Linked DNA regions of Elephas maximus indicus. The protein of the gene in region 1 purifies or fractionates together with the protein of each later gene. This does not show direct contact. Links are inferred from orthologs where the notes say so. Each region holds a gene or a part of one and is shown on either strand. Other genes may lie near its edges.

Region 1 (10,290 bases):
GTTAAGTGATCAGCTGCTAACCGAATGGTCTGTGGTTCAAACCCACCATCTGCTCTGCGAGAAAAAGATCTGGCAGTCTCCTGTAAAGATTACAGCCTTGGAAACCCTATAGGGCAATTCTACTCTGTCCTATAGAGTCAGTATGAGTCGAAGTCGACTCAATGGCAACAGGTTCATTCTACTATAAATAACAGCATCATCTATCTGGAAATTCTGACAGGAATTCAGGTTTCAGTCTTTAAAAACCCTGGAGTTTTCCAAGTTATTGCAGATTGGCTTCCTTAGCTTCTCAGGTTCCATTTGGTGGTTGCATATGGCCAACCCCATCCCTCAGTCCGTGAGCCTGTGTTCAACAGTGTGGCAACTATGCAGTCATATCGTGGAGGAAAACAAGCAAGCAGAATCATGGGAAAGAAAAAAAACCCCATTAATAGATGAATGGATAGACAAACTATGGTACATGCACATGATGGAATACTATGCAATGATAAAGAACAAAGATGAATCTGTGAAGCATCTCACAACATGGATGAATCTCGAGGGCATCATACTGAGTGAAATAAGTCAGTCACAAAAGGACAAATATTGAATGAGACCATTATTATAAAAACTCACGAAAAAGTTTACACACAAAGAGAAAAAATCTTTGATGGTTATGAGAGAGGGGAGGAGTGGGGATGGAAAAACACTAAATAGACAATAGGTAAGTGGTAACTTTGTGAAGGGTAAGACAGTACACAATACTGGGGAAGCCAGCACAACTTGTCCAAGGCAAGGTCATGGAAGCACCATAGGCATATTCAAAGTCCTGAGGGACCAAATTATGGGGCTGAGTGCTGGGGACCATGGTCTGGGGGGACATCTAGCTCAATTGGCATCATAGTTTATAAAGAAAATGTTCTACATTCTACTTTGGTGTGTAGCGTCTGGGGTCTTAAAAGCTTGTGAATGGCTATCTAAGATACTCCACTGGTCTCAGCCCATCTGGAGCTAGGGAGAACAAAGAAAACCAAAGACACAAGGGAAAGGTTAGTCCAAATGACTAGTGGACTGCAAGTACTACAGCCTCCACCAGACTGAGTCCAGCACAATTAGATGGTGCCCAGCTACCACTGACTGCTTTGACAGGGATCACAATAGAGGGTCCGGGACAGAGCTGGAGAAAAATGTAGAACAAAATTCTAATGCACACACACAAAAGATCAGACTTACTGGTATGACAGAGACTGCAGAAACCCCGAGAGTACGGCCCTTGTACACCCTGTTAGCTCAATAATGAAGTCCCTCCTGAGGTTCGCCCTTCAGCCAAAGATTGTAGACAGGCCCACAAAACAAAACGAGACTAAATGGGCACATCAGCCCAGGAGCAAGGATGAGAAGGCAAGAAGGGACAGGAAAGCTGGTGATAGGGAAGCCAAAGTCAAGAAGGGGAGAGTATTGACATGTCACGGGGTTGGCAACCAACGTTACAAAACAGTATGTGTACTAATTGTTTAATGAGAAGCTAGTTTGTTCTGTAAATCTTCATCTAAAGTACAATGAAAAAATTACAGCCTGGAAAATCCTACCAGGCAGTTCTACTCCGTCTCGTGGGGCTACTCCAAGGCACCTAACAACAAGAATATTGGGGAAACTACAGCTGAGTCAGATGGGTCTTAAAGAATACTGGCAAGGTCTAGAAGAACGCTTCCCATTACAAAAGGCTTTGTGCAGCGACTAGGAACAGAGAATGACTGAAGTCAGGCCCAGAGGAGATGTCAACAGAGAAACAAACAAACAAAAAACCAAGCCCGTTGCCTCCGGTTGATTCCGACTCACAGCGACCCGACAGAGAGAGAATAAATAGGGTGAGGTCAAACCACCTTAGTTTGGTTGGAGAGAAAGGCTAGATTGCTTCCAAGAGGGAAAGCCCGGGATGGATTTCCCAGCAGCGCGACCCTGGAGCCAGAGTCGGTATATAGTTGGAGAAGATCGAGGATACAAAAAAACAAAAAACAAACCCGTTTCCGTCCAGTCCATTTCGACTCATAACGACCCTATGTGACAGAGCTGACGAATTTCCAAAGGAGAAGAGAAAACCCGGGGCAGCATTCCTATTGGACTCTAGAATGGAATCGTAGAGAAATTGGCTCCTGGGTGTGCCCTGGTGGTGTAAAAGTGGTTAAGCGCTGGGCTCCTAACAGAAAGGTCATCGGTTCAAACCCACCAGCCGCTCCGCGGGATAAAGATGTGGCAGTCGGGTTCAGTCAAGGTCACAGCCTTGGAAACCCTTTGGGGCAGGTCTACTCTGTCTGATAGGGTCGGCAAGAGCCGGAACTGACTGAACGGCGGTGGGTTGGGTTTGGTTTTGCTGCAGTGGCGCCTGCGCACCGGGCCGCCTGGGTTTATCCGGGGAGAGACCGTTGGCAGAAACTGGCGCAAGCGGGGCTGTGACAGCAGCGGCATTCCGGGCGGGCGGGGCGGGGAACGCCTGGGCCCGACACGCATGCGCACTACGGGGCGCGGCCGCGGCGCACCTGCGCACGGAGAAGCCGCGGGAGGGCGGGGCCTGTAGCGTTCTCGGCGCTCGGGGGATTGTGGGATAGTGGTGGAGAGCGGCTGGGCGTCGGAGTAGCCGGAGTGCGGACGCCCCGGACCTCCGCTGGTTTGGGGAAAGGAGGGTTGAGGAAGTGGGCCTCGGCTTCCGTCGGTGGCCGCTCCGCACTGCGTTCGGGCCACAGAGGAGGACATCTTCCCCGCCTGCCCTCTGCTTTTCCACGGGGTGCAGGGCTGAGGAAACCGGGGCGACGTCCCGTTCCCTCGCTCAGACTTCTCAGCCCAGCTCGCTGCCCGCGGCTTCAGTCGTCGAACCCCGGAGGTGCCTGCGCGGGTCCCGTGACCTCCCCACCCAACGAACCCCGCGCTTACCCCCGAACTCAGCGGAGCTAGGCACGCGGGGCCCCCCATTGATCAGAGGGCGCGTGCGCGCCGCGCAAACCCCCGACTGAAGCGCCTGCGCACCGAGCGCCCCGCGAGACCACTGCGTCGCCCCCCGCCCCCACTTACCGGGTCCCTGAGCAGGGGCCGGAGCCGCCTGCAGCGGGGCGGGGGGGGCGCCCCGATGAGCCCCGAGTGCGAGGAGCCGCCGCCCCCCCGAGCAGGTGAGCCGGCCGGATCCCGGGACCCTTCCCCGGAGTCCAGGCCTCCCGAGTCTCCGCTCCCCCCGCCCCGGGCCCTCTAGAGCCTTACCAAAGTACCCCTCGGGGCTCCCCAGTCTCTTCCCTGTCCGGGCCACCCCCCATCTTTCTCCTCGGGCCTCTTCCGTTCCTTCTTTGGGCTTCCCCCTAGTCTGTGTCACCTCAGCGTCCACCGTCTCGCCTAAAGTCTCCATTTCTTTTCTTTGGCCTATTCCCAGCCCACCTCCCTCTTCCCACTCGGCCTCCCCAGTCTGTTAGTCTCTTCCCCTGTGGTTCACCGCCAGACCACTATCTTTTTATTCTTTTTCGGATTCATTCCCCTCCTCTTCTTTTCTCACCCACCCACCCACCACCTTCTTTCCCTCTCAGACTCACCCCCCCCATCTTTTCTCCGTCCAGCTCATCCCCAGCTTACCTCTTCCTTCCCCCTAGGTCCCTCCAGTCTCATAGTCCCTCCCTGCTCTGCTTCATTGCCACTCTGTCACCTCCTTCCTCCCTCAGATTCACCTATCCCCCAGTCTCTTCTTCCTCTCTCCCATCCCCCCAGTCTCTTAGTCTCTTTCTTCCTCACCTCATCCCCTTCTTCCCTCTCGTACTCATTCCCCCTGCCCCAGTCACTTGCCCCTCCAACCCACCCCCTTCCACCATACCTACTCCTCTCTGGGACTCACCCCCGCTCCCAGTCTCTTCCCCCTTGAGCCTGCCCCCCTCAGTAGTCTGTCTCCTCAGGCACCCCCATCTCTTACTACTGAGACTCTTCTCTCTTGCCCCCATTCTTTTGCGTCATGCCTTTGCCCTCCTTCCTGCCTTCCTGGATTCACTGGTCCCTGTTCATTCTGATCCTTGGGCTCAGGACATAAAGTAGTGGCGCTTTCCCTTTACCCTGGCTGTGGGTCCCCCGTACCTGGTGGTCTTTGGCTTCTGGTTGTGAGGAGGGATCTGGGAGCCCGCGTTCTCTGGGGCGGGTCCTGTTTTTGAGAGGAGGCCTGTTTCTGAGGGCAGGGTGGGGTACTGGTGCTGGACCCAGAGAGGGGACGCTGCCCTGAAGGAGGGATGGGTCCCTGGGGAGACAAAGGCAGAGCTGGGCAGTCACAATTACTGTGTGTGGTGATAGAGGTAACTCAGGGCACCACTGCGGGAGCCCAGGGAGGGGCAGGGACTGGCAGGACTGGCCAAGCCAGTGGCTTTTCTGTCGAGGAAGGTTGAGTGGGAGTTGACAGATGGAGAGTGGGAAGAAGGGCATTCCGGGTGGAAGGAACAACCAGTGCAGATACGTGAAGGTGGGGGTGTTGGAGGGTCTGAGAGAGGGTATATGTTGGGGGGAGTGGGCAAAACACCTAGAGCTGGAGCTGGTTACCTTGGAGGTGGTGTTCTGGCGAGGGTCCTTCCTGCTCCTTCCTGTACCATGTACACACACACCCCTGTTTGAGGACACAGGCGTTACCATTTACACCAGCCTGGAAAGCAAGATGTTTCTGGAAAGGAAGGTGTGTTGTCAGATGTGGGACTTGGTTAGAGCTTAGCAAAACTGCAGCAGGGTTGCAGCCAACTTGAGGAAGAGGTTCCACCTCGGCTCTCACAAGGTGACAATGGCAGTGACTCAGAATTATCTGGAGAATACAGCGTGTGTGGTTTGTGTACATATCCTGTATGCTAACATGTACGTGTAGAAACGGCCACCACACCCTGGGACACGCACTTACCACGTGGAATGGCAGTTGGTTTTACTTGCTCTATTTAAAATGTTATTTTCTCTGTTCTCTTTCTTTTTTAAAGCTTTTTTCTACTGCAGCATCATTTTGTGTAAATTAAATGAGACCACGTGACTTGTTTTCTGGAGTTTTACACCACATTTGGGAGGCAGTGAAGGCTAATAGTTTAGAGTGAGCTCTTTTGTTGGACAGACCTAGGTTCAAGTTCTGGCTGTCCCACTTGCTAGTGGGGTGACTGTGGACATGCTGATCAGAAGCTCTGTGCCTTCTCTTCCTCATCTGTAGAGTGGGGACAAAGTGCCCTCCTCATGGGGTTGTTCCAGGGGTTAAGCTTGACGTATGTAGAAGCTCATAGCAGAATGCAAGGTAAAGAAGCTGCTCCAGGATCAGTTGCTCCTGTGATTATTATATCTGGCTTGGGATCATCTATTGCAGCATTTCTCAGCTGGGGGTGATTGTGCCCCAGGGTACACTTGGCCACATCTGGAGACATTTTTGATTGTCACAACTAGGGGGAGGGTGCTACTGGCCTCTACCGGGTCAAGGTCAGGGATGTTGCTAAACATCTTAGGATGGACAGGATAGCTCTGCATGACAGAGGATTGTTGTTAGTTGCTGTTCAGTTGACTCCAACTCATGGCGACCCCATGTACAAAAGAATGAAATGTTGCCCAGCCTTATGTCATCTTCATGATCTTGGCATGTTTGAGTCCATAGTTGTGGCCAATGTGTGTTTTGAGTGCCTTCCAACCTAGGGGGCTCATCTTCCAGCTCCGTATTGGACAGGATTCTGTTGTGATCCATAGGGATTTCGTTGGCTACTTTTCAGACATAGATCACCAGGCCTTTCTTCCTAGTCTTAGCCTGAACGCTCCACTGAAACCTGTACATTATGGGTGACCCTGCCGGTATTTGAAATACCAGTGGCGTAGCTTCCAGCATCTTAGCAACATGCAGGCCACTGCACTACGACAAGCTGACAGACAGGTGGTGGGAGGCAAAGAATCAACCAGCCCAAAATGTTAACAGCGCCAAGGTGGGGAAGCCATAATTTCTTGTTTGGGTGTAGTTGGGCTTATCTACTTTTTTGCTACCTGTCAGTGGCTGTGTGGCTCTGTGCATCATCATGTGTTTGGATTTACCTTTCTTTTTTTCGGTAGTTAGCCTCTGTTGGCCCAGCTACTGTTGCTTTCCGTTTGAGGTATATCTACTCCCCCTCGTCCTCCACCCCTCAGATTTTTTTATTCAGGCTCTCTGGTCAAGTGACCTCAGCAGATCATCTTCCCCCGCTGATGTTGATTTTGTTTTTGTCGTTGGTTTGTGACTTAGGAGAACCCTATGTGTTACAGAGTAGAAACTGCCCCGAAGGGTTTCTTGGCTGTAATCTTTATTAAAGCAGATTGCTAGGCCTGTTTCTTACACAGTACCTACTGGGTGGGTTCAAACTGCCAACCCAGCTGTGTGCACCACCCAGGGACCTTCACCCTCCCCCTCTGGACTTTAGCCTTTGCTAATTTAGCAAGTGCCCTGAGCTCTTCTCTGGGCCTGGCCTTGCTCTGGGTCCTGGGGAACCAGCCCCTTCAAGGGCGTACGGATGACTAAACAGGCAAATTGCATCACTGAGCACCCCGGTGCTGGCTGAGGGGTGGCCATAGACACAGGCCCCCAGTGATATCGTGGGGGGCGCGGTGGCTTCCTGGAGGAGGTGCCTGGTCAGAGAACTAGAGGAGAGGCAGAGGGAGCTGCACGTGCAGGGCAGAGAGGAAGGGATGCGTGCGGCTGAATTTTGAGAGCCATGTGGGTTGCAGCAAGAGAGAGGTGAGAGGCTTGGAGGCTCCAGTGGGTTGCCTTCCCCAACTGCCTGGCACATGGCTTGTTGGCTGGGGGGCATAATCCCCTTCCCACCCCAAACCAAGTGTCTTCCTTTGAGCACCAGCTTTGTGGGTCCTTCGCTGGGAAGTGCTGCCTGATGGTAGCCCTGTGAGGGGTTTCATAGATGGGGAGACAGAGGCCAGTGGTGCTCTGCCACCTGTTGTAGATTGAGTTTGGGCAGGTGAGATTTGCCGCACCCAGACCTTCCTGACTTAACTGCCCTGGAGGCTCCTGAGGCTGTAGCACTCTGCCCGCTCTGCTTTTCCAAGGGCTCTCCGTCTTAGAGTATATTCTTTGATCTTGTCTTTTTTCCAAACCTGTGGCCAATGCAAGAGATGAGTCCAGAATGTGAACATTGGAATCCCCCCTACCAGTTCTCAGCAGTTGCTTCTGTCTCCCAATTTCTTCATCCCCTGGGGTCAGGCAGAGCTGGCACCTCCGCTGGGAAGGTGTGATCCAGAAGGCATAGGGGAGGTACCCCCTAACGGGGAATGACCCCCGTCCCCAGGCTTTCTAAAGCCTCAAGGCTCCCAGCCCCAGCCTGGTCTCAGCTTGTCATTCTGTGTAACCTTGGCCAGGTCCTTTTGCTCCTCTGGCCTCAGTGACCCCTTTTCATTAGTGGCTGTCCCCGATGCCTACCTTGCCAGGGTGGTGGCAGCCCTATGGGCCCTAACTTGGAAGTTGCTGGGGTCGTTGTTCCATCCCATGGGAAGCCCCTTCCAGTCCTGGCATTGGCATCGGGTGACCTGACCTCCCCTCAGACCCTGGGTGCTGGCTGGGTGAGGGGGAAGTTGGCGGGAGGCTCTCCTGCCATCCTCTGAGCTGCCCTGCTGCCGCCGGGCCCTTTAAGGGGCTGGGCCCAGGCTGCCGTCCGCTGCAAGCAGGTTCTCTTCCCCGCACTTGGACTTGCCCAGCCAGTTTCTAATTAGAGCGGCAGCCCGTGGGCCTGTCATCTCTGCAGTGGAGGCGGATCAGTGGCCTGCGGTGCCCTCTCCTGAGGCCCAAACTGGCCTTCTCTGCCCTCTGATCCCGCTTGCCGAGGCATAGGGCCCTTCAGGTGGCCTGTCCTGGGAGGCCCTCCCAGCGGCCCCTGGGCCCTTCACCCCCACTTCCGGGTGCCTTGGGGCCAGGGCAGGAAAGACGGGTGGTGGGGAAGAATCGGCTGGGTTCCCTGGCAGCCAGAGCTGTGTTTGGACTACAGCAGCCAGCGGGACGGCTCTTTGGGAGCTGTAGCTAGGCCCTGCCTGAGCCTGGGGCAGGGCCTGCAGGCTCCAGAGAAGGAAGGCAGCTGGTGTTGAAGGCCTCAGGAAACAAAGCAGGAGGAGGAACGAGAGGTGATGGTGAGGACCTGGCAGAGGGAGAGTTACAGAGGTAGTTTTCGTTTTTCATGGCCTCCTTTCTCATTTATAAATCCCCCTTCTTCCGTTTACAGCCAGAGTCATGGTTTTCAAACGGTTGCTGAAAACCATTGGTAGTCACTTCCGCTTTCTAGAAGTTGCTGAAAGTTGCAAAGGATGGGGGTGGGGGTGCAGAGAAGTGTTTCAGTTGCTTAGTAAGAAGGGGAGCGTGCCCTTCTCCTCCTTGTCTGTTCGTAGCATGGCCAGCCTTGGGATAGTGACTGTCTCCTTCTCCTCCCACCCTTGCGGTGCAGTACTGGGAAGGATCGTGGTCTTAGAGACAGGCTGAGGAGGGGGCTGCCACAGGGACAAGACCACCAGCCTTACCTCATTGGTGCTCACTACAGCGCCTCCTGAGGCTAGGTGTCCCCATTGAACAGATGGGGGAAGTGAGGCTCAAAGATGGTCAGTGCTGGACCCAGGTTCCCCACCAGCTCTATGGAATTGGAAGGTGGGGGCTGAGAGTCAGGACTTGAGGCTGGAGTGGACTGAGAGTTTGTGGTGAGGAAAAGTGTTTCTTTTCTGTTTTCCTGTGTTTGTGTTTGCACTTCCACTCTGTTTAGAGCTTGAGAGCCAATGTTTGACCATGTGATCACGTTGAATCCTTCCAGCCACCTCATTTTCAGAGGGGCCACCTGAGGTTGAGAGGTTAAGGGCCTGGCTGGAGTTGTGCAGTGCCAGTTCAAGCCAGTCCCTGGATCCCAGACCCTATGCTTTCTCCCTCCTAGCACTGTACACTGCCTGCACACCCTGCTTTGTCTTGTGGCTCCCCACGCCTACTCCCACCTGTGCTTTCTGGAAAGCCAGGCTATGTAGGCAGGTGGGAAGGTGGAGTGAGGGCAAGAGGTTCGAGGTGGGGGCAGCAAGCTGTACCCGATAACCAGGAGCTTTAGAAATGAGCGTGAACACCCCCCCCCCAAAAAAAGAAGAAATGAAATGCGCGGGAACCTCAGCTGTGAGAATGTCTACCTAGTGTAAAGAGGCCAGGGCTAGGGATTTGGAACCATGCAGAATCCTGGCTCTGTGGGCCTCTACCCCCCGCCTGGCCCCTGCTTCCACATCTGTGAAATGGGATAATAGTAATGCCTTACCTTGCTGTCTTGACATGGAGACAAGATAAGGTGCTGGCAAGTGCCAGGTACAGGCACGTGGGTTCTCTCCAGGTATCATTTAGTCCTGTTTTTTGTCCCGTATCTCTGTGGAGGAGGGTGGCTTAGTTCAGGGATGAGGAGGGCTGACCTTGGATGTGCTCCCCAGGTGAGCCCTTCCTGTGCTTCAGCTCTGCGCAGTGAGCTGGTGTTTGGTCCACTGTGGGGTGACCTGACTATTGAGCAGGGAGGACTGAGCCTGGCCTTGCCAGGGTACCTGGGGTAGTGGCTTTGTTTTTTGTTTTGTTTTTTTGGTAACAATTTTATGAGGTAGAATTCACATACTGTACAATTTGTCTATTTAAAATATGCAGTTTATTGGCAGGTAGTACAATCACCATGTTGTGCAGCCACCCCTTTTGTCTACTCCCAGAACATTCTCATCCCCTCAAAAGGAAACCCTGTGCCCATTAGCACTCATTCATCATCTCCCTGTCCTCCAGCCCCCACCAACCACTAATCTGCTTTCTGTCTCTGAATTTATCTATTCTGGACAATTCACATAAATATGTGGCCTTTGTGACTGACTTCCTTCACCTGTAGGGGATCCTCTGGCTCCTCTGGGAATCAGTTTCCTTGTCTCTCCTCTTGCTGTCTCTGGTGTGGAAACCCCTTCGAGTGCACAGAGAGCTGTGTTCTCCTCACATTGAGAGTCTGCTTTTCGCCTCTCATGGCATGGTTTTCTTAGGGCATCGGCAGGGTTGAGATTGATTTGGTGGCTGCCATGTGAGGCTTGAGGACCCCTCTTCAGCTTCCCTTCTAGTCTGAGATCCCCCACATCCCCCCTGCAGGCCTCACAGGGACCCATATTCGGTAGTACACCATACCCACCCCTCTAACCCACCACACGCCAATCCTATGTGGTCTACTTTTCCCAACAATCACCCTAAAACACAAAATAAGGAGCACTGCACTTGCGACCCTATAGTGGCTCTTCCCCATGGCCTATACACAGAGACGAACCTCTGTGCTTTCAAGACCTCAG
Region 2 (10,219 bases), on another chromosome or scaffold:
TTGCAAGGCTTTAAATCTTTACAGAAAAAGAGTGTCATATCTTTCTCCCACACAGCATCTGGTGGGTTCAAACCACCATTCGATTAGCAGCCGAGTGCTTGACCACTGCACCATCAGGGCTCCCAGCATACAATAAGAGCACAATAAATGTAAGCCATTATTAGCTCTCTGCCATGAAACACTAGTCCTCAAGTACACTCCCAAAGCCAAGTGACCAAATCCCAAAACAATCAGAAAAGGGTCCAAAGAGTAGGGCCTTTCTATTCCCTTCTTCTCTGCTGAAGGCAGGACTGAAGAATAGTGTTTGCTTTAAGTTCAGTGCTTTAGGGAGCAATGGAAGGACAAGAGCAGTCCAATAAAATGTGTAACATGTCCCAAGGCCTTACGCTGTGGGCTAAAAGTTCTACTTTCAAAGTTAAAGGGTTTCTAGTATTTTGCCACTGCCACGGCTGCCAGTCACTGCCTTTGGCAAGGAGGTAGGTGACTCAAGTGCTGAGCTAGGACTTGGCAAGAGGATGCCAAACCAGAAGGCTTCCAGGCAGGAAGCCACAAAAAAGGCCACCTGCTGAAACATTTTGTCTATAGGCAGCCTTAGAGTGGAGGTGGTATTCTGCCGTCATTTGAAAATTCAGATAAGAATAGTGAACATTTCAAAAGTCCACCAGAACTCACCATTCTAGCTTCATAACTCCGAAAAAAAATTTTTTTGGTCCAGGCCAAAGATATGACCACAATTAAAATCACTGAAATGTCTTAACTATATGACATAAAGAACAACAAAAGTTCAGTATCAAATCAAATTGCAAAGAGTTTCATGGATATCTCAAGCCAAAATACATATCTGTATAATAAAATCTTATCATATATTTTATATTATATTACACATATTTGTTGTTTTTGTGTACCATCAAGCCAATTCCGATTCATGGCGAACCTATAGGACAGAGTAGAAGTGCCCCATAGCGTTTCCAAGGAGCTGCTGGGTGGATTCAAACTGCCAGCCTTCTAGTTAACAGCCTGAGCTCTTAACACTTCATGACCAGGGCTCCATTACATATATTATACAAATGTAAAATTATATATTACCAAACCAAACCCAGCTCTGTCGAGTCGCTTCCGACTCATAAGACAGAGTAGAACTGCCCCATAGAGTTTCCAAGGAGTGCCTGGTGGATTCGAACTGCCGACCCTTTGGTTAGCAGCCGTAGCACTTAACCACTATGCCACCAGGGTTTCCAAAATTATATATTATACAAATGTAAAATTATACTATACATTATCATGTGTGCATAATAAAATCTTCTTTCTCAACCTTAATATCACCTCTCTTTACCAAAGATATAAATAAATCTCCTAACATCCATCTATGAGGGAATAATTACATTATTATATTAATTCCATAGGTAAATGTATTCTACGCTCCATAGGTGACCAACTTATCCTGGTTGTCTGAAACTTTCCTGGTTTTAGCTCTGAAAAGTCCCTTGTCCTGGGAAACCCCTCAGTCCTGGGCAAACCAGGGCAGTTAGTCACCCTAAAGCTGCAAGAAAAATGACGTGCATCATGTGAAGGGGAAAACAGAAGAGACAAATGCAGAAGTGCTAAATGCCAAGCTTGTTTGTTTGTAGCAATAGCTCCCAGTTCCTTTTCATAGTAAGAAAAGACTAAAAGCCACACACTTGCCTCTCCCTTTCCCCTTTCTTCTCACTCTCCCAGCGTTAAAAAAAAAAAAAAAACCAAATCAGGAAAAGGTATTTTTCCCTTCTCTTGTGTGATTGAGAGGTCACTGCAGAATTAACTGCTGAAGTGGAGATCACCATCACCCAACAAGCTCCTGCACCCAGCTTCAGCAGAACAGGACCGCCTCTTACTTTGGGCATGTTTAAAGACAACTTGTAATTCAGGTTATCGGCAGGAAAAATGTGTCCTCAAGCAAAAAAAAAAAAAAACTGCAAGAGCCAGGACAAAAATCAAGGTGTTAAAACAAATGAGGGAGGAATTTAAAAAATAGTTCTTGTACAAGTAGCTAAAAGGAGAACTGTGCACTCCCTCTACAAACTCTAAGGCAGGGATTCCAGGCAGGCTGCTCCCTACCCACTCTTCTCGCAGATTTTTAAGCACAGAGTTTTTAAGCCTCCAATGAGGTTAAAAACCGACTTCTAAGAATTTAGAATTTCAAACTGAAAAGGTAAGACTATATAAGGCAAGAAAGACCACATGCTTCCTGGACCTGAAGCCACACAGAAACCTCTGTTGCTCAGCACCCCACCCCACCCCACTCCACCCAGAACGCCTTTCCACCCAATCCCCCCTGGCTGTGTCCCAAGATAGGCAGGGAATTTTTAGATGATCTTAAATCTTAGAATGTCTTAGCTTCTTTTTATGCATCAGGAGGTGGAACCAAATAAACGTTTTGGTACTCTTTCTTTCCACAGTTACACTAGTTTATAGAGGGGGGGCCGGGAAAGGACATTTTAAAAGACAAACATCTTTAGAAATCCTAAGGAACTTCTGATAAGTCCTGAAGAATAACATCCTTTCTTTTTAAGACCAAGTAATACACTTTTCAGCAGTGTCCATCTTGATTTAGAAGAGGATGCCTTCTTGTAACCCTTACAACACATCCAATGAAAAGCCAGAGGTGTCTTACCAACTCTAGCAGAAAGCACAAGAACCTGGAAGGCAACCGGAGCTAATCCTAGCTCTACAGGTCAACAGCTGTGGTCCCTGAGTAAGGCATGCTTCATTTCTACAGATAATAGTTTCTTCATTTGAAAATTGAAGGACTTGAGCAGGAAGGTCTTTAGCATACCTTACAACTCTAAAATCCTAAGTAAAATTCTTTCATGTACTGTTAGAAGCATTTTTTTTTTTTTGGACCTTGCTGATTAAGGATTAACAGACAAGTAGGTGACCAGCAAAGATGACAGGACCAAGGCAGACTAAAATTGGAAGATTTAAAACAAGCAAATGTCTAACAGTTGGCTAAGTATGTGGCTAAAAGGTGGGAGAAATCCTAATATCAACTTACAAACACTTTTAAATGCTCTGGAACCAATGAGAACACGTAAACTCATCAAAATCACTAGGCTCCTCCTACCAAATTTAACAACAGCACGGATTTTAATTCAGTGACCTCCCCCCTCCCCCCTCCACACAGTCTATAAATATTTAGGGAAATCAAACCAAAAATATAAATCTAAAAGGACGAGAACAAATCATTGCAAAAACATCGTGGTAATGATAGCATTTAAGTCCCAGACTGCTCTGGCTGGATGCTAATAGGGGACAGAATAGGTGCCACTGGAACCCACTCAAGAAGTTTGAGATGTGTAATACCAAGGGCTGGCCCGTTTGACAGCGTGTCCAAGTCAAGACTACATCTTGACCTACCAGAACACCAAAACAATGTTTATCTCACTAAATGGGGGGGGGGGGGGGCGGGGAGGCAAGCTTTTTCCTTTTTTCGTGGAAGGAGCTGCAAGGAGTTTTGTCGTGCAACTTGATTGGGCGCCTGTGAGTGCCCATTTCCTAAGAGCAGCAGAGGCCACAAAGGTGAGGTGTCTCCACACCACAGATCTGCACTGCCCTGTGTTGAGTCTTAGCGAGGAAAGCAACAAAGCCGATGGGGGCACAAGCAGACGGTAGCCCACCACTTGAAAGTGGAGGCCCCGCCGGACCGCACCGCATTCTCCTCCGGAAAGACGGACCAGAGCCCAGAGCGCCTCTTCGAGGGTCCCCATCGGACATGCACCCGCCGCCTCTGGCCAGCTAAAGAGGAAGTCAGGATAGCATGTCAAACGGATAGACAGCCCGATCACACAAGAGACGTGGGCTGGGCCGGTCTCCGGGTTGCCTTGGGGAGGGGTTCCAGACTGCGGACCTTTCTCCCTCTGACCCCACAGTCCTCCTCCCGGCGGCGTGGACCTCGGCTGCGCAGCCCGGTGGAGTCGGAGGAGTACCTCCAGCCTCCCCTCCCCCTCTTCCTCAGCCTGGGCCCGCGTACCACACACGCAGACCCACACAAGCCCGCGCACCCGCGCCCAGGCTGCGCCCAGCAGGGTGCCCCCTCAGCCTTGCGGCACGCCGCGGTGCTAAGGGTGCTGAGCGGGGCGTGCAGTTCCGACGGCCCAGGGCGGGGAGCAGCTCCGGGCAGGAGAGCGGCCGCCGCGGGGTTCAGAGGCAGCCCGCCAGCCGCACACACTCCTCCCCTTGGCCCGGAGTAAACAGCTCGCGGGCTCGCTCCGCGCCGCCCCCATCCCCCGCCGGGCTCCGCGCCGCCCCGCGCCGAGAGTCCCGCCGCCGGCCGCCGCCCCCTACCTGGTCTGTGAGTTTGAGCACTACCATTCTTCCGCTCCTCCGCACGCACACACATACAGGTCCCCAGTCCGGAGATGTCAAGCCAGGAGCCGGGGAAGCGGAAGGGATTGCCAGGGGAAGGGAAAAAAATCTGGCTCCCGAATTTGACAGCCCTCCCCCTGCTCCTCCTCCGCCACCGCCTCCTCTCGCCGAGAGGCTGACACTGGCTAGTGGTGTTTGCAGCCGAGCCCGCCCGCCCGCCCGCCTTTATACAGGAAGTGCCGGCTGCTGCCAGCCGGGCCGCCACTGACATCACCGCGCGCTGCCTCGCTCGCTCGCGGCCGCGCCGGCTGGGCCGACGCTGCCTCCTGCCGCCCGCAGCCGCGCCTCGCAGCCCACGGCCCCCAGCGCTCGCTGGCGCCAGCACCTCGCGCTCCGCCGAGGGCAGACTGATTCCTGCTTTACGCACACTGCACATGGGTGAGCTTGGCACCGGCCGTCAGGCCGCCCGGCGGCCCCAGGGCGCGCATGGTAAAGGTGGCGACCCGGGGCTGACCGTCGTCTCCCTAGCCCCATCTCACTCATGTGCACAGACACACACGGACACAACCTGATGAACAAGCCCCTGTGAGGACACCCCGAGGGGGCAAAGAAAGGCTGCCACTCACAAACCACCCACTTTAAACTGGGAGGCTGGGGCACACCCCCTTCCCTTAAACCTCTCATTATAGTCCGGAATCCGATTGTACCAGCCCTCAAAATTATCCCACCTCAATCAGGCACCACAATTCAGATACTCTTAGTTTAATGCCCGGAGGCCTGATACAGGGTTTTTTTTTTTTTTTTTTTTTAGCAAGTAAGTGAGCCGTGTTTCACAAACATTTGGGTTTGGGGCGAGGTACAGGGATTCTGACATTTTCACCTTGTTCCCCAGCCAGAATCCAGCTAGACACAAACACACACACACACAATCATTATAACACTCTGGGTTTTGCTATTGATTTGTGGTTTGGTTTACCCGGAGGGTGGAGCTGGAGCAGGACCCTACAGGACAGAGTAGAACTGACCCACAGGGTTTCCAAGGCTGTAAATCTTTATGGACGCCGAGGGCCACGTTTTTCTCCCACTGGAGCACTGGTGGGTTCCACCATCGACATTTCGGTTAGCAGCCAGCCGCTTTTGACCGCTGCACCACCGAGGCTCCTTACTGGAGAAACTGAAGAGATCGTGAATTACCTCATTTTTAATGTTTCCACCAGTCCTGATCATGCATTTCCACAAAATCCAAAGTTACCATGCTCTTCAACAGGTGGAAGACACGTTAAGCAGCATGGGATACAAAGGCAGCGGTCATATTTATAATCATGGCTAATGTTGACACTTGTAGAATTTGGACAAGCATTTATTTATTCAACAACTATGCACTGGGTGCCTACCTTTTACCAAGTACCCCCCCCCCCAAAAAAAACGCACTGCCGTCGAGTCGGTATTCATAAATAGGCAAGATACCTAGTCTCGGAGGATGCCTGACTATAGTCAGGCTAAGGAATGTAATTACCAGTTGAGATGAGGGATTACAGGGAACAAGTGCTTCTAAAGGAACCCATGACAAAGGAATCAGACCAAAGTGATGCATAAACCCAGGCTTCCCTGAGAAAGTGACATTAATTGAGATCTGGAAGAGGAGAGGAGGTATGTTAGCAAGGAAGGCAGGAGGCAGCTCCCAGGCAGCCCCTTGTGCCCCTGACAGGCCACAGAGCAAACCTGCAGGGAAGCATTAAACAGCAAAACACAGCTACAGAGTTCCTGGGTCATGAGCAAAGATATCCTGCTTATTCACAAACCGAAAGTGTATACTGCCTTCTGGGGTTCTTCCTCCCAACTTTCAGAGCCTCCGCAAAGGTTCCATGTAAGAAAGGAGAGAAGGATGTGAGCTGGTAGCATTCACTTAGCATCCTCTCCTTTATCATTCAACCACCCAGTTTAGCTAAGCAGATAAGTCACAAACGTACTCTTACTAGTCTGATAAAATTGTGATTCAGATCATGTAGACAACGGGAACCAAGGAGGCATTCTCCTGGCTTTCACTCCTCTATCATCAGGGAAGCATGAAGAAAAATGTACTTTTTCTCTCAAAGCCCTCTCTCAAATACAAAATAGATTGCTTTGGTTGCATCTGTGAGGCAGTTTTTAACTACTGGTGTTGGTGTATCTATTTACTAATACCATTTTGCATGGGTTTGTAAGTAAACTGAATAGGACACTGAATTTTCCACTTAAATATAGCCTTCTTTCAGAAAAGTAATAACAAATGGTTTAATTTGGAGAGTGCTCCCAAGATCCTCTTTGCTTCACCATGGCATATCTACCCAAGTTCTTGAGACCTCATTTGAAAGGGGGAGGGAACAGTCCACAACCCTATCAGACCCATCATCCCCTTTTTTGTAACTAGTATATTTAATACTCCCTTACTATCTTGAAATGAAATTAATAGACAATATAACCTACCTATTCAAATCACAAAAAAATCAATAACAAAGGGAAAATAGAAAGTAATTTAAAATTAATAAGTATTTCATAAGTAAATTCTATAGCACAACTCTAATGGAAGATAACATGAAGTAGAAGATGGCTTGCCCCTTAGTTTCCTAGTGCCGCTATAACAGAATACCATAAATTGGTGGCTTTAACAAACAGAAATTTATTTTTTCACTGTTTAGGAAGCCAGAAGTCCAAATTCAGGGTGCAGGCTCTAGGTGAAGTTTTTCTCTCTTTGTTGGCTCTGAAGGAAGGTCCTTGTTTCTTTGGCTTCTGCTGCTGGGTAATCTTCATGTGGCTTGGCATCTCTTTTCCCCCATCTCTGCTTCTCTCTTGCTTGTTTAATCTCTTTTATATCTAAAAAGAGATTGACTGAAAACATAACCTATACTAATGCTGCCTCATTAACATAGCAAAGGCAACCCATTCTCAAATGGGATTATAACCACAGGCATAGGGGTTAGGAATTACAATACACATTTTGGGGGAACACAATTCAGTTCATAACACCCCCATATGTAGAACCATTTTGAATGAGATAACTACAAATGCTGACCAATATGAATGTGTTGTGTTAGCAACTCAAACATCAAGATTGGTGTTGTTATAGGTGACATGACTTTTGAAAAGCTGAACAACTCTTGGTCAAGTTCCAAACAAAATAAAGAGTTAAGGATTGGGTTAAATTTATTGATATGGGTGCATTTACCAGAAAGTGTGGATTTAAGATATTAACTAGTGCTTTGAATGTGACTCTAACAGTTTGCTCAGTTGGTTAAATGAAACTTGCAGTAGTCTACATTCAATGAGATCAAGATGCTAGAATGCCCCTGGTATAATGTGGAAAAAGAAATACAAAAGTTTACCGAGATAAGAATGTTGGAGTGATTTTATCATGTGTAACCTGCACACCCAAACCCAACCTACATACACCTTGAGGGCCCAGATGACAGTCTTTACACTAAAAAAATTAAAAATTACACTAAGGCATTGAAAAACAGATTAGTGAAGAGAGCACCAGAAAAGCTCTGTAGTAGCTGGATATGATGGTAGGAGATGCTTCCAGTGAGGTGGCTTCCTGATATCTGTGACAGTGGGATACTGGGATACCGGTGCCTAACTGGCAGAAGCAACATGGACACATTTACTGTAGTGGACAGCAGGGAAAAAAGTAATAAACAAAGGTCTTGACCTACAGGTATATTTGACAGTACCTAAAAAAAAAAAAAAATTTTTTTTTTTTTAATTGATCCAGGTGGCCCTAGGAATAAAATAGGTGGGCAGACTTCTGAAATATTCCTTGATCTTTATTGAAAAAACAAACTCTGAGTATGCTGGCCTTGAGCCATTAAAATGAAAAATCATCCTTCTCATCCAGTTTCCATACCTAAGCTAGTTTACAGGCATGGTGCCCCTTAATTGAAAGGAGGGCTGGTCCCTGAGAAAGAATCCTACAGTACTGCCATAAATACATACTACAAGTCTTCATTCAAGCCTTTCCCAAGGGAACCTGATGTCATTCACTAGGGTAACTTGTGCACTAGGGAAAAGGAAATACCCAGATATTTTGGGGATTACTAGACACTGTTTCTGAATTAATGGTGATTCCTGAGGATCCAAAATGCCATTGAGTTCACCAATCGAATTGGGGACTTTTGGTGTTCCAGTGATAAATGGAGTTTTCACCCAAGTCTAAATGACAGTGGGTCCAGTAGGTCTGCAAATCCACTCGACGGTTATTTCTTCAGTTCCTGCACTCTTGATATGGCACTATTTCCAGTGGGGACCAACCAGGCACCTGTTAGCAGATTGATTGTATTGGACTCCTTCCACATATGGGGTTGCCATGAGTCAGAATCAACTCAAAGGCAATTGGTTTTTTTGGTTGATTGGTTGGTTTTTCCATCACGGAGGGAGAATAAATACGTATTGTGGATAGGGATTTGCCTTCTATGCCTAGAATGCTTCTGCCAGTACTACCACCAATGAACTTACTATGTTATCGCTTATTTACTGTTATAATATTCTGTACAATATTGCTTCTTTCCAAGTAATTCATTTCACAGGAAAGGAAATGCAACACTGGAATCGCGTAAATGGAATTTACTGGTCTTGTATACCCTACCAGCAGAAGCAGCTGACCTAGTAGGAAGATGGAATGATCTACTGAAGACTGAGTTCTGGTGCCACTTGGGGAATAACATACTAAAAGGTTAGAGTACCCTGTTATAGGATATATGTATGCTTTGAGTCAGCAACCAATATACAGTAGTGTTCCTCCCAAAATATGTAGCTCCAAGAGTCAGGAAGGTGGTGGTGGAAGGGGCTCTTCTCATCATTACACCTAACAATGCACCTGCACAGTTTTTGGTTCCAGTGCCCATAACTTTGAGCTCTGCTAGTGTGGAGAATCCTACTTTCCAATAGAGGACTCTTTCTATCAGGGGTTATAATTATGGTTCCTTGAATTTTGAGAAGTAGAGACTGGTATCTGGTCACTTTGGGCTTCTCATACTATGGAACCAACAGGCAAAAAAGAGGTTGCTTTTCTAGCTGGGGTTCTTGGTTCCAATTTCCAAAAGGAAATTGGTTTGCTGCTACACAATGGGGGCAGGGAGGACTATGTCTGGGGTTTCTATGGCACCTTTTAGCTCTTTTGTGTGCCATAACCCATTAAAAAAAAAACAACCTATTGCTGTCAAGTCGATTCTGACTCATAGTGACCCTATGGGACAGGGTAGAAGTGCCCCACTGGGTTTCCAGGGAGCAGCTGGTGGATTTAAACTGTCAACTTTTTTTGGTTAGCAGTCTTAGCTCTTAACCACTACACCACCAGGGTTTCCAAATATGCCCCCTCAAATTTCAAAAATATTCCCTAAGGGACAGTACTGAGAACCAATGTATTGTAGTGATCATAGCCTATGATGTGAATAAATCCATCCAATATATTATATCACATTTCACTGTGGTTATTTTATTTACTTGATTTATCCTATTTTAAATTGTATGACTATAAATACACACTTACATGTATATGTATGTCTATAGATACATGTGAGTGTGTATATGAGTATATATATATGACATATATATAAAACATATGAACATATATCACTGCAGTAGGCATTGTAGTGTGTCACCCAGTTCCCACCTTCGGCACTAAAGCCCTGCTGGAAAAGTTGCCTGCTAACCACTCAAGCTGAATCTTTCCCCAGGCTTTGCCTTCAGCCAAAAGTAAAAAGTACATCACCCAAGGTTACAACCTCTCCCTGGGGCCTGTTTATATGCAATGAGTGCAGTGGTACAAAGACCCAGCCAGTCACCTTGCCTCAATTCAGAGTATCTCCGAAGGGACATCTTAGCTTCAGAGCCAAGGCCTGTG

What was found. The genes of interacting proteins can lie anywhere in the genome.
Region 2: the proteins of PPP6R1 (region 1) and ANKRD44 purify together in Homo sapiens (co-immunoprecipitation; 5 studies listed by BioGRID and IntAct, counting the BioPlex papers as one, with this or other methods). This does not show direct contact. The link is inferred for Elephas maximus indicus from reciprocal best matches to the Homo sapiens genes PPP6R1 and ANKRD44.

Annotation. Positions count from the first base shown.
Region 1 is NC_064829.1:91,748,301-91,758,590, forward strand, and holds the start of PPP6R1 (serine/threonine-protein phosphatase 6 regulatory subunit 1), read left to right. Parts: upstream 1-5,280; 5' UTR 5,281-8,097; coding exon 8,098-8,100; exon of another isoform or gene 8,101-8,131; intron 8,132-10,290. UniProt on the Homo sapiens protein: Regulatory subunit of protein phosphatase 6 (PP6). May function as a scaffolding PP6 subunit. Involved in the PP6-mediated dephosphorylation of NFKBIE opposing its degradation in response to TNF-alpha.
Region 2 is NC_064824.1:95,696,293-95,706,511, forward strand, and holds the start of ANKRD44 (serine/threonine-protein phosphatase 6 regulatory ankyrin repeat subunit B), read right to left. Parts: upstream 4,538-10,219; 5' UTR 4,348-4,537; coding exon 4,321-4,347; intron 2,266-4,320; exon of another isoform or gene 1-2,265. UniProt on the Homo sapiens protein: Putative regulatory subunit of protein phosphatase 6 (PP6) that may be involved in the recognition of phosphoprotein substrates.